3 linked regions of the Callithrix jacchus genome follow. The protein of the gene in region 1 purifies or fractionates together with the protein of each later gene. This does not show direct contact. Links are inferred from orthologs where the notes say so. Each region holds a gene or a part of one and is shown in the gene's direction. Other genes may lie near its edges. The genes, in order: TFDP1, E2F2 and E2F3.

The links.
Region 2: the proteins of TFDP1 (region 1) and E2F2 purify together in Homo sapiens (affinity purification with mass spectrometry; 3 studies listed by BioGRID and IntAct, with this or other methods). This does not show direct contact. The link is inferred for Callithrix jacchus from reciprocal best matches to the Homo sapiens genes TFDP1 and E2F2.
Region 3: the proteins of TFDP1 (region 1) and E2F3 purify together in Homo sapiens (affinity purification with mass spectrometry; 3 studies listed by BioGRID and IntAct, with this or other methods). This does not show direct contact. The link is inferred for Callithrix jacchus from reciprocal best matches to the Homo sapiens genes TFDP1 and E2F3.

Annotation. Positions count from the first base shown.
Region 1 is NC_133502.1:29,048,421-29,052,168, forward strand, and holds the start of TFDP1 (transcription factor Dp-1), read left to right. Parts: upstream 1-1,096; 5' UTR 1,097-1,129; exon of another isoform or gene 1,130-1,549; intron 1,550-1,572; exon of another isoform or gene 1,573-1,996; intron 1,997-2,164; 5' UTR 2,165-2,228; coding exon 2,229-2,240; intron 2,241-3,748. UniProt on the Homo sapiens protein: Can stimulate E2F-dependent transcription.
Region 2 is NC_133508.1:60,278,514-60,282,161, reverse strand, and holds part of E2F2 (transcription factor E2F2), read left to right. Parts: intron 1-993; coding exon 994-1,099; intron 1,100-3,462; coding exon 3,463-3,648. UniProt on the Homo sapiens protein: Transcription activator that binds DNA cooperatively with DP proteins through the E2 recognition site, 5'-TTTC[CG]CGC-3' found in the promoter region of a number of genes whose products are involved in cell cycle regulation or in DNA replication.
Region 3 is NC_133505.1:10,309,260-10,312,907, reverse strand, and holds part of E2F3 (transcription factor E2F3), read left to right. Parts: intron 1-1,482; coding exon 1,483-1,594; intron 1,595-3,161; coding exon 3,162-3,381; intron 3,382-3,648.

The DNA of each region.
Region 1 (3,748 bases):
GCTTCCCTGTAATAGTATGTGGCACAGGCAGACAGGCCTTTGGTCAGCTCCTCCCGTCCTCCGTGGATATTCATTAGGCTCCGGGCTCCTCCAGTGCTCTGCAGATGTTCACCACATTCGGTACACACCAGGCTCTGCCACCTGCTGTGGACCTGAACTTCGGACTCTTCTCTGGCCTCGCCTGCCCTTGGCTGCGGTGCTAGGGTGGGGCCATACAGGGTGGATAAAGTCTCCAGGGCTTGGGGACCACCAGGCTCACAATGCAATGGAACTGTTTCTGCAGTTTTCCTTTCCCTGCTTTCCCTCCCGAGTCCCGGGCCAGGCCCCCTCCAGCGAGCACCCAGGATGCTCAGAATTGTTGGGAATCTGGGCGGAGGCTGGGCATGAGCTTGGAGGCCCTACTGGGTCCAGCAGAGGCAGCGGCCTCTGTGCCACGCACACACACACACCTCCTCTCCTCGGTGTGTCCACATACACACGTCTGTGCACACACCTGCTCTCCATACATGCACAGCCCCACACACAGTCGGCCCTTTATGTGCACACACATTCGCGAACACAAGCGCATACCCTCCGTACCTACAGGCACGCATACACCCGACCCCGCTCTTCCCAGTGCACACACCAGCCCCTGCTCCCCCACCACACACACTCGTGCACACACACCTGACACCCGGCCCCCACCTGCTGCCCCAAGTGCACACACAATAGTGTACACTCATGCACACTCGTGCACAAACCAGTCCCCGCTCTCCCACGTGCACACACACACTCTTGCACATAGCCGTTCACCTCTTTCGCCAGACACACAACGTCACAGGCGCTCACAAACGCGGCCCCTTGGCCTCCGAGCGCACGCCGCGCGCGCGCACGGCCTGTTTCAGCGCAGGCCCCGGCTCCATCGCCGCACGCGCACGCGCACACACGGACACGCGCGCACAGCCCCTCCCCGCTCCCCCAGGGCGCGCTGCACTGGCGGGAGGAGCGGGAGACAAGAGCAGCCGCAGAGGAGGAGGAGGAGGGCACCGAAGGCGCGAAAAGGCGCGCAGGCGCGCTGTGCGGAGCGGGCCCGCCGCCGCCCACGTCACCGCGCCGCGCGCACGTCACGCCGGCCCGACGCTCGGCCAGGGTGAGCCCCGCGTCCCGGCGCCACTCGGCCCAGGGCAGGGACCCCGCCACGGCCGGGACCGCCCGGTCTGGCCCCCGCCCGCGCCTCCCCGCGCCGCCCGGCGCCCCGCGCCGCGCCCTCCCTGCGCCCGCGCCCGCGCGGTCAGACCGGGCAGCCAGGTGCGGGCGGGCAGGGGATGCCGCGAGAGACGCGGGCGGGGGCCAGGGGCGCGAGCGGGACCCCCGGCCGTCCCATCCCGTGCCCTCGCTGTGTATAGTCGCCGCGCGGCCCCGACCCGCGCCCTCCCGCGCCCCGCGCGCTCCTGTGCCCCGGAGACCCCGCGTGCTCGGCGCTGGTTGGGGCTCCCCAGGTGACCGCGGGACTGGGGTCCCTGGGTCCTGCCCTCCCGGCCGACAGCAGCGCCCGTGCCCCGCGCCAGAGGTGGGACCGGGGCCGGAGCCGGGGGCAGGGTCGGCCGGAGCGCGCAGGGCGGGGGAGGGAGGCCGCCCCACGGCGGCCCGCGGGGACCCGGTTCCGGCGCGCGCGGGAGGCGCCTCGTGCGGAGGCGGCCCGAGGCCTAGTGACAGGCGCGCGGCGCGGACCCCGGAAGCCCACCTGTCAGAGTTACCGGTCAGCCGGGCGGGCGCCGCCGGGGTCTGGGTGGACGCCGCGAGCCTGCACGTTGCGCCGGGACCCCGGGGCTGCCCCCAGGTGGGTGGCGGGCCCCCGCCCCCACTGCAGCGGCGGGAGGGAGGCGCTGCGCCCTGGCTGGCGGGGCTCGGCCCCACCCTCGGCCGTTGGGCGGGCCGTCGGGGACCTGGGGGTCGTGGTGGTGACCATGCGGGCCCCAGGGCCACTTTTCCATAGGGGGCATTTCCGACTGGCCAGGTGACTTAAAATCGAGTGTGGGAGTTGTTTGGCCAGCTCTGCTCCCAGGATGGAGGGCGCCTTTGGGAAGGAAGGTCCACGTTTTCTTTGAGATGTGTTATTTTTTTAAACTTCTTTTTCATTCTTACTTATTTCTCGTTTTCCCTTTTTTTTTTTTTTTTTTACCAGAAAAATCATTTTTCTTCTCTGGGAGGGTGAACATTTATAGCATTGATTTCCCGGATCTGGTAACATGGCAAAAGATGTAAGTATGTTTGCTTCATGCTCCACACGAATGTTTGCTTCGCACTAAATTCTTTGTAGTTTGCTGCCTTTATTTCAGAATGATAACACATAAGCTACAGTAGTGTTTATTTTCAGACTTTTAAAGCGTCTGAAGCGGGATGAAGGTGAAAGATGGAAGGATCTGATCTCTGAAGCTGTGCTCACCACCGGCTAGTTGTGGTCTTGGATACCACACTGTGCAATTGGGTAGTGCCTTCGACTTTTTGCTTATCTTTAACGACTGTTAATAATTTTGAATAAACTCCTTAGTTAAATGAGGTGGAGGGCATTGCATCCCCACAGCGAATTCCCCATTTCTTGGGAGGCTTCTACATGCTATGAGGGGTGAGGCCAGGGCTCAGGATGTAGCCACCTGCTGGCACCTGTCTTCCTGCAGAGGAAGTTAATTCCACTTGGGTGGACCAAGTGCTAAGCACTTGTTGTGACCACTTTCTCAGAAGGATGAGATGTGGTGATTTATGAAATCTGGTAAAAAATGGTAGCCTGTTTTATATTTGTCATGAAACTATAGAATATTTTGAATAATTTTTTAAACTTGTGTGGGGAAAGGGGCTTTTAAGGCCAGAAATGTAGTCGGTTTTATTGTCATGCAGTTATTTACCATGCTTTATAATGTCAGTCACTGAAACAGCTGGATTTGTTAGTGTTTTCCACCACGCATCACATCGCTCTGTAACTGTGAGTGAAAGGGACTGTTGATGTGTTTACCTACTTACCATGCAGAGCTGGAAACAGGCCACATGTGCTACCTCTGCCTGAGATACAGCGAAAATGCATCCAGAGTGTAGCGCCCTCCATGGGCGCAGATGTTTCAGTGGTCCCTGCAGGATCTTGTGGGGCACCTGCCCTCCTTGACCAATCACCACACATGTAACACAGTGTCCCTGGCTTTAAGCACTGGGGTCTGCTTTAGAGAATGTGTATGAACACCCAGGTAAACCCAGTGTGGCTTTTTGGAGTCACTTGTATCCTCTCCACTGTGCTTGTACCATGCCCTGACCTTGTGTATGCACGCACTCCAAATCCAGATGTAGGCATGTGCTCCACGTTCTGCAGCCATGTTCATTACGACTCCTCATGGTGAGGAGCTGGGCCTAGGACCTTGGTTAGAGCACGCTTCTGGTGTTGTGTGGTTTCCTGTGTGGTTTCCTGAAATGGTTCTCAAACACACTTTGCTATGTAATGGATGGTGTCTCCAGGGCCCTCTTTTCATCCCCCCTTGATTTCATTGGCACTGTCTGTGAGCAACATGTATCGTAAGGCTGGGGGTGGAGAGCGTACAGAAAGGTGTTTAGGTTCTGCAGGACCCTGAATGCTCCATCCAGTGTGGGCATCTGAGATGCAAGGTTTGTCAAGGACTGCATAGGCACGGGGTGGAGGCTCACCTAACCCTCGAGGGTTGTGATCTGAGTTGGGGGCTGGCGCTGGGAGGAGAGTAGGATTCTACAGATGGCGAGGTCTCCTTCC
Region 2 (3,648 bases), on another chromosome or scaffold:
GATGTGGAACCTTTCCCCCAAGTTGTACAGTGAGCCTATGAAGGAGCTGGAGTTTCAAACATGGGTCTCTGACCTCTGTCCCACTGTCCCAGTGCCCCAGTCCTGCCCCTGCCCTGCCCCTGCCCAGCCCTAACCGGGAGAGAGGCCCTTTCCGGGGCAGTGCAGCTCTGGGCCTAATTGGGGCCCGGGTGGTGACAGGGTGGAGAGGAGCAGATGGGTCTGTGGTTTGATTTCCCCAGCAGGTGTTTCCCAAGCTTGGCGGGAACAGAGAGGGGGATTGGGGAGGGGGGAAGGGGTGGCCTCAGCTGCTTGTCCTTAAGACTTGGGAAGGATTCATTGTCTGCCCCTCTCGGCAAAGAAAGAATGGCAAATGCAGTCTATTCAGGAGGCCCTGGGGCCCTCAAGCTGGAGCCCAAACATTGGGGGTGGGGATGTTTGCACTGCTTCCCACTGTGGGCACCTCCCTGGGGTGTGGCACTGAGCCAGGAAGTCTCCTGGGTCTGGGCGGATGCCCAGCCCCACCCTGATAAGGACCAGCTGTGGGACTGTGATGGGCACTCAGTCTGGCTGGGCCATCTGCTTCTGTATGGGGGGCCTTTCCCCACCCTGATGTGGTTTAGGCCCCACCCACTGCTTCCTCCTGGTATCATCCTCTGGGTGTGGTTGGGTGAGGAGCGGGTGTAGGGGCAGACTTGGGGCCTGTGGTTAAGGAACTCTGAGCCTTTGGCCAGACTGGTTTTGGTAGGGTCTCAAGTGCCTGGGCCTCAGAGGATGAGAGTTTTATTGGCCCTTCAGAAAACAAGACCTCCCCTGAAAGCTCACTTCTCAGGTCATTGATATTTTCCTATCAAGGACAGCAGTGCTTCACCAGGACTGGCAGTAAACTGAGGCACAGAGGTGGCTGCTAGTGGCCTTATCACTTTGGCCCCACATCAGGAAAGGCTAAAGGAGGTATGATTCTCAAACTCTGTCTCTCTCCCACCTCTCTCCCAGGCCAAAAGGAAGCTGAATCTGGAGGGGATTGGGAGGCCCGCCGTCCTTGAGTTCCCAACCCCCAAGGGGAAGTGCATCAGAGTGGATGGCCTCCCCAGCCCCAAAAGTAAGCAGTGCTGATGGAGCCTCAGGGTGGGGTGGGGCAGGGGCAGAGGGCAGCGCCCTGCCTAATCACTGGGAGTCATATTTGGAGCACTTTCCAGTTTACAAAAGATTCCTTTGCATTTTCTCACTTGATCCTGGCAGGTAGGTAGGCCTGTCTCCCTTTACTAATCAGGCAACTGAGACTCAGAGAGCTTGAGTGACTTGCCCACAGTTTCAAAATGGAGTCAGGACTTGAGCCTGGACATGTAAGTCTTGCACTACTTCAGTGTTTTTTTGTTTCGTTTTGTTTTTAATTATTATTATTTTTTTATATAGATGGGGTTTCACCATGTTGGTCAGGCTGGTCTTGAACTCCTGACCTCAGGTGATCCACCCGCCTTGGCCTCCAAAGTGCTTGGATTATAGGCGTGAGCCACCATGCCCAGCCTGTTTTTGTTTTTAGACATGTCTCACTCTGTCGCCCAGGCTGGAGTGCCGTCTTGGCTCCCTGCAACTTCCACCTCTGGGGTTCAAGCAATTCTTCCACCTCAGCCTCTCACGTAGCTGGGATTACAGGGGCATGCCACCATGCCTGGCTAATTTTTGTATGTTTAGTAGAGATGTGGTTTCACCATATTGACCAGGCTGGTCTTGAACTCCTGACCTCAAGTGATCCACCCACCTCAGTCTCCCAAAGTGCTGGGATTACAGGCATCAGCCACCACGACCGGCCAGTCTTGTACCACTTCTACCACGCCATGTACTGCTCTCATGTTCTAAATGCAATGACCAGTGTTTTATTTGGGAATTTATTATTTTTAAAAAGTTTTCATATTTAGGTCAATGTAAACATTTCTGAGAATCCAGCTCAGAGGAGCAGGGGCTAACCGGGTCTTTCTCCCACCTGCAGACAAGGAGCTAAATAAGTGATTCAAAGGGAAGGGCAGTACAGATTGATCCAGTCTGTGCCACCTCAGGTTTTTTAGATTCAGAGGTTGCCCAGGTGGTGCCTTCCTAAAGCTAAGTTGGAGGGGCTTGCTGCCTCTTGATATTTTCAGTCAATATCCTGGATAGGCCAGGCACAGTGGCTCACACCTGTAATCCCACCACTTTGGGAGGCCGAGGTGGGCAGATCACCTGAGGTCAGGAGTTCAAGACCAGTCTGGCCAACATGCCAAAACACTGTCTATACTAAAGATACAAAAACTAGCTGGGCTACTTGGGAGGCTGAGGCAGGAGAATCACTTGAACCTGGGAGGCAGAAATTGCCGTGAGCTGAGATCATGCCACTGCACCCCAGTCTGGGAGAAAGAGTGAGACTCCATCTCCAAAAAAAAAAAAAAAGTTCCTGGTTAGAGTGGGAGTGTAAGCAACTGTGTTTGGGAGGAACACTAGTTTTACAGGTCATTCCTGTAAACCTTAGTTGTCTCGTGTAAAAGGAAGTACAGCTAGATCAGGAATGGCAAGAAAGTTTCCTTTGCATTGACTGGTCAAGGCTGCCCAAAGCACTGTCTTGAAGGATCCTAAGACTCATGATAACTGGTCCTCTTCCAGAGGAACCTAAGACTCTCCAAAACTCAGGTTCCAGAATTATTAGATTGGCCACTAACTTGCAACATGACTTGGAAGTCACTTGATTACAAAAGTCCCCTCGGTTTAAGATGCTTCAGCTGAGATGTGGTCTTGCAACATCAGCCTCATTGAGAAAGGACCTTTTCATGAACCTCCCCACTTGATGTTACGGGACCGATTCTCAGATAATCACTGGGATTCACATGGAAGGAACAGCCAGTGTGTGTCTATAAAGATGTTCTTAAATCCAGGCTTATCATTCCTGTCCTACTCTAATTCCAAACTCCTGACATTTAAGTGGCAGGATAGGGTAATGGTTAAGAAGGAAAACTCTGGAGCCAGATTGTCTGGATTCTAATTCCAGCTTTGCCACTTCCTAGCTGGGTGAGCTGAGCAGATTACTTAAACTGTGCCTCAGTATTCTCATCAGTAAAATGGGATGATTGTACAGCAACCTTATATGGTGTTGTAAGGCTTAAATGTGTTAGTATGTGGAAAGCACTTAGAACAGCGACAATAGTTGTGGGTGGGGGTATGGCGTCTCTAAGCTGTGGTGGAAACGTGCCTTGAACCAGGAGTAAGGACACTTGGCTTCCAACATACCCATTGGCTTTGAGACCTTAAGCAAGTCACCTTCTCTCTTAGGTATTAGGTTCTCTGTCTGGACAGTGGTGGTGATGGGTGCCCTGCCTCACAGTGCTTTGTAAACTGGAAAGTGGGTGGTGAAAGTTGGGACTTGATGAGCCTAGGTCAATGGGCGAGAGTCCTGAGATGGCACTCCCTGAGCTGTGACTGGGTCCCTTTCTTCCTCAGCCCCCAAATCCCCTGGGGAGAAGACTCGATATGACACCTCGCTGGGGCTGCTCACCAAGAAGTTCATTTACCTTCTGAGCGAGTCCGAGGATGGGGTCCTGGACCTGAACTGGGCCGCTGAGGTGCTGGACGTGCAGAAGCGGCGCATCTATGACATCACCAATGTGCTAGAGGGCATCCAGCTCA
Region 3 (3,648 bases), on another chromosome or scaffold:
AGTGTTATTTTACACTTACGGCACGTGTCAGTTTGGATGAGCTAGCAAACCAGTGGCTATCTTGGTAGATGGTGCAGGGTTAGCTGGTAACTTTCCACAGAGAAGATGGATATGTCTTCCACTAATAAGTTATTGCTTACATTTTCACATCCTGGGGAGTTGTTTTGAAATTGCAAATCTCCTCATTAGAAGAATCTGCCATAGACAGGGCGCAGTGGCTCACACCTGTAATCCCAGCAGTTCTGGAGGCCAAGGCTGGTGGATCACGAGGCAAGAGATGGAGACCATCGTGTCCAACATGGTCTCTACTAAAAATACAAAAATTAGCTGGATGTGGTGGCGCATGCCTGTAGTACCAGCTACTCCGGAGGCTGAGGCAGGAGAATCACTTGAACCCAGGAGGTGGAGGTTGCAGTGAGCTGAAATCACACCACTGCACTCCAGCTTGGGTGACAAGAGCGAAACTTCATCTCAAAAAAAAAGAAAAGGAGAATTTGCGTGAAAATGAGCCTAAATACGAATTTTTGTGCTGAGTATCTGATTGGTGCCTGACATACGCACACAATTAGTACTTAACAACTGCTTAATTGAGTCTTCTCTCTTGGACTCAAGCCCCTTATCTGTCTTGCTTACCTCTGTTCCCTAAGCCCAACGCCTAGTACCTAGAAGGCCCTATGTGGATGTTTTAAAATTGAATTGTAGTTAAATTAAAAGCTTAGGTAAGGGCTTCTCATCTGCCAGGCTTGGTGACAAAATGGAGAAAGTAATACTGGTTGAAGCCCAAGACTGCATGTTTGCAGTATTTGTTTTTCTGATGAAGGACCGTTTGTAGTCTGTGACTAGTTGTGTTACTATTCAATTACTCTTTCTCTCATTGAATATACAGTATATAGAGAGAGTGATTGAAAATCTACAGAAACCCAGGCTCTGTGCCAAGCATTGGGTATACAAAGATCAATGGGAAACAGTCCCTGCCTTAAAGGAAATGAGAAACAGATAAGTCTTACGGTAATACCTAATAAGTGTCATGATACAAATAAACGCCGAGTGTTTGGGGGTCCGTAAGGAAGGGGTCCAGCCCAGGTCAGAGAACAGGAGATGGGCAGGAGAGAGTCACTGTGGAAAGTCAATTTCAAAGTCCCATGGCGCCTGCGATATTCTTAGCATCCAGCCCCATGCCGGGCACATGATGTGTTGAATCAATGAACAAAGTGACTGCTGAACCTAATGCTAGAGGATCGCCGCGTTTGTCCATCTGGGTGTGGACGGACGATCATGGCAGGTGAAGTGAGTGTGCATGACAGCCTGGCCTCCAGTGCTAGAATCCTGGCTCTAGCGAGTGACAAGATGCTGAGTGGGGTGGAGCAGAGGGGTGAGAGCTGGCACGAGCCCGCAGCATTTGGCAGGCCAGCCCACAAACTGCCTCCCTTCTTGTTCTTGTCCATATGACCGGTGACGAGAGATCGCACTTTCTTATTACAGGCAAAGCGAAGGCTGGAGCTAGGAGAAAGCGGTCACCAGTACCTCTCAGATGGTTTAAAAACCCCCAAGGGCAAAGGAAGAGCTGCACTACGAAGTCCAGATAGTCCAAAAAGTAAGGATCCTTTCATCTCTTTCCTTATTCTCCTCGGTGTGGAATTTCCAACTTTCAAAGCTTATGGCCGGAAGGATGCCAAGGTGTGAATAATTCTGGCATGTTTTGTTCCTTTTCGTTTCTTTCTGTGCTTATCCAAAAAAATAAATACAGTGTCAGCAGACAACCAGCGAAAGGCTACAGAGTCACGCTGGTACCATAAGGGAAGGCTTCGTTTAACTGTATGCAGTTCCATTTTTCAACTCCGAATGCGAGCTTTTGGCATCGTTCTGTATCAAATTTAATTTTAACTTCCCTTAATGGACATTGCTTCAGAGTCTGAGGCAAACTGGATGTCCATGAACTATGCCAGAGTCACTAATGTCTGTGCCGACCTCAATCTCCAGCTCAGCGTATGGAAATGAAAGAATTGATTGAGCCCAATAAATTGCAGGCCGGTTTTCTTTCTATCGAATACTATTACCATTTCTTGTGGGAGAGAGAAACGTAGGCTAGAAATAGCCAAATAGTCCTTTATGTGTGTGTTTGCATTTAACATAAGGGCTAAATTAGATTTTGTTCTAGCTCCTCCTGTAGTTCATGCATTAGGCAATTCACAAATTATCTGTGACACTAAATTAAAACCTTAACCTGTGCACCTGTGGGGGAACAAGTACTATTTTAAATAAGGAAATTTCCTTTAAGAGAGATGGGGAGATTTGGCAGAAGGCTTTTCTAGGTAATTATATCTCAAACTAAGCATTATTTGAAAAATTGGGCTGGGCATGGTGGCTCATGCCTGTAATCCCAGCACTTTGGGAGACTGAGTCAGGCAGATCAGAAGGTCAGGAGTTCAAGACCAGCCTGGCCAACATAGTGAAACCCCGTCTCTACTAAAAAATACCAAAAAAAAAAAAAAAAAAAAAAATTAGTTGGGCATGGTGGTGTGTGCTTGTAGTCCCAGCTACTCGAGAGGCTGAGACAGGAGAATGGCTTGAACCTGGGAGGTGGAGTTTGCAGTGAGCCAAGATCTCGCCACTGCACTCCAGCCTGGGCAACAGAGTGAGACTTCGTCTCCAAACAAAAAGGAAAAGAAAAGAAAAATTGGTGAACAGGTGATACACGCACACACAGATATCAGAGCCTGAAAGGCCATTTGTGATGGGTGTGTTTAAGACCCTGTCCTGCGGTGCTGGTGAGATTCATAGCCTCGCTCCAGCATGGTAGGCCCCATGTGTCCTGGTCCCCTGAGACCACAGCACTCTCATTCATTTGACAGATCACTTTTTAGCACCCACTATGTGTAAATTCTTGATTAGAGCCAGGGACTAGTGTAAGCCAAGGTAGAAACTCTTGAGACCTTCAAGGTAAAGTGCTTTCATGAAATCCTGGCATTTTTACTGTCCCTTACTTTTCTAATAAAGAACTTCCATAGCTTTCCACGACTTGCCGACAACAGCAACGACAGCCGTGCTTCCGATACTAATACTTCGGCTGCAGCGGGAAAGAGCTTGCCTCACTGCAGACACCCTTCATTTCTTCACCTTTCCCCCATCCCCCACCCGCTTGGTTTCTGTTTTTCTTTAAGCTCCAAAATCTCCCTCAGAAAAAACGCGGTATGATACGTCCCTTGGTCTGCTCACCAAGAAGTTCATTCAGCTCCTGAGCCAGTCACCCGATGGGGTCTTGGATTTGAACAAGGCAGCAGAAGTGCTCAAAGTGCAAAAGAGAAGGATTTATGATATCACCAACGTTCTGGAAGGCATCCACCTCATTAAGAAGAAGTCTAAGAACAACGTCCAGTGGATGTGAGTAGGAGCCGTCCCCGTGCCCTGGCTCTGAGGGGGTCACTTCAAACTGCCTCGTTTCTTAGTTCCCGCTTTCACATACATGCCCACACGTTCTTTCTTTTCTCTCCAGCTGTTTTCCTCTCTCTTCCCTCCTCGGCTTCTAAGCCGGAAGGTCGAAGTCTCCTTACAGAGAGACGTGGTTTAGATACTGTCAGAGAGAGAAGGATTTCTATTTGATAACTGTCAAGCACGGGGAGCCTGGAAAGGTCCCTGCAGTGGGAACCT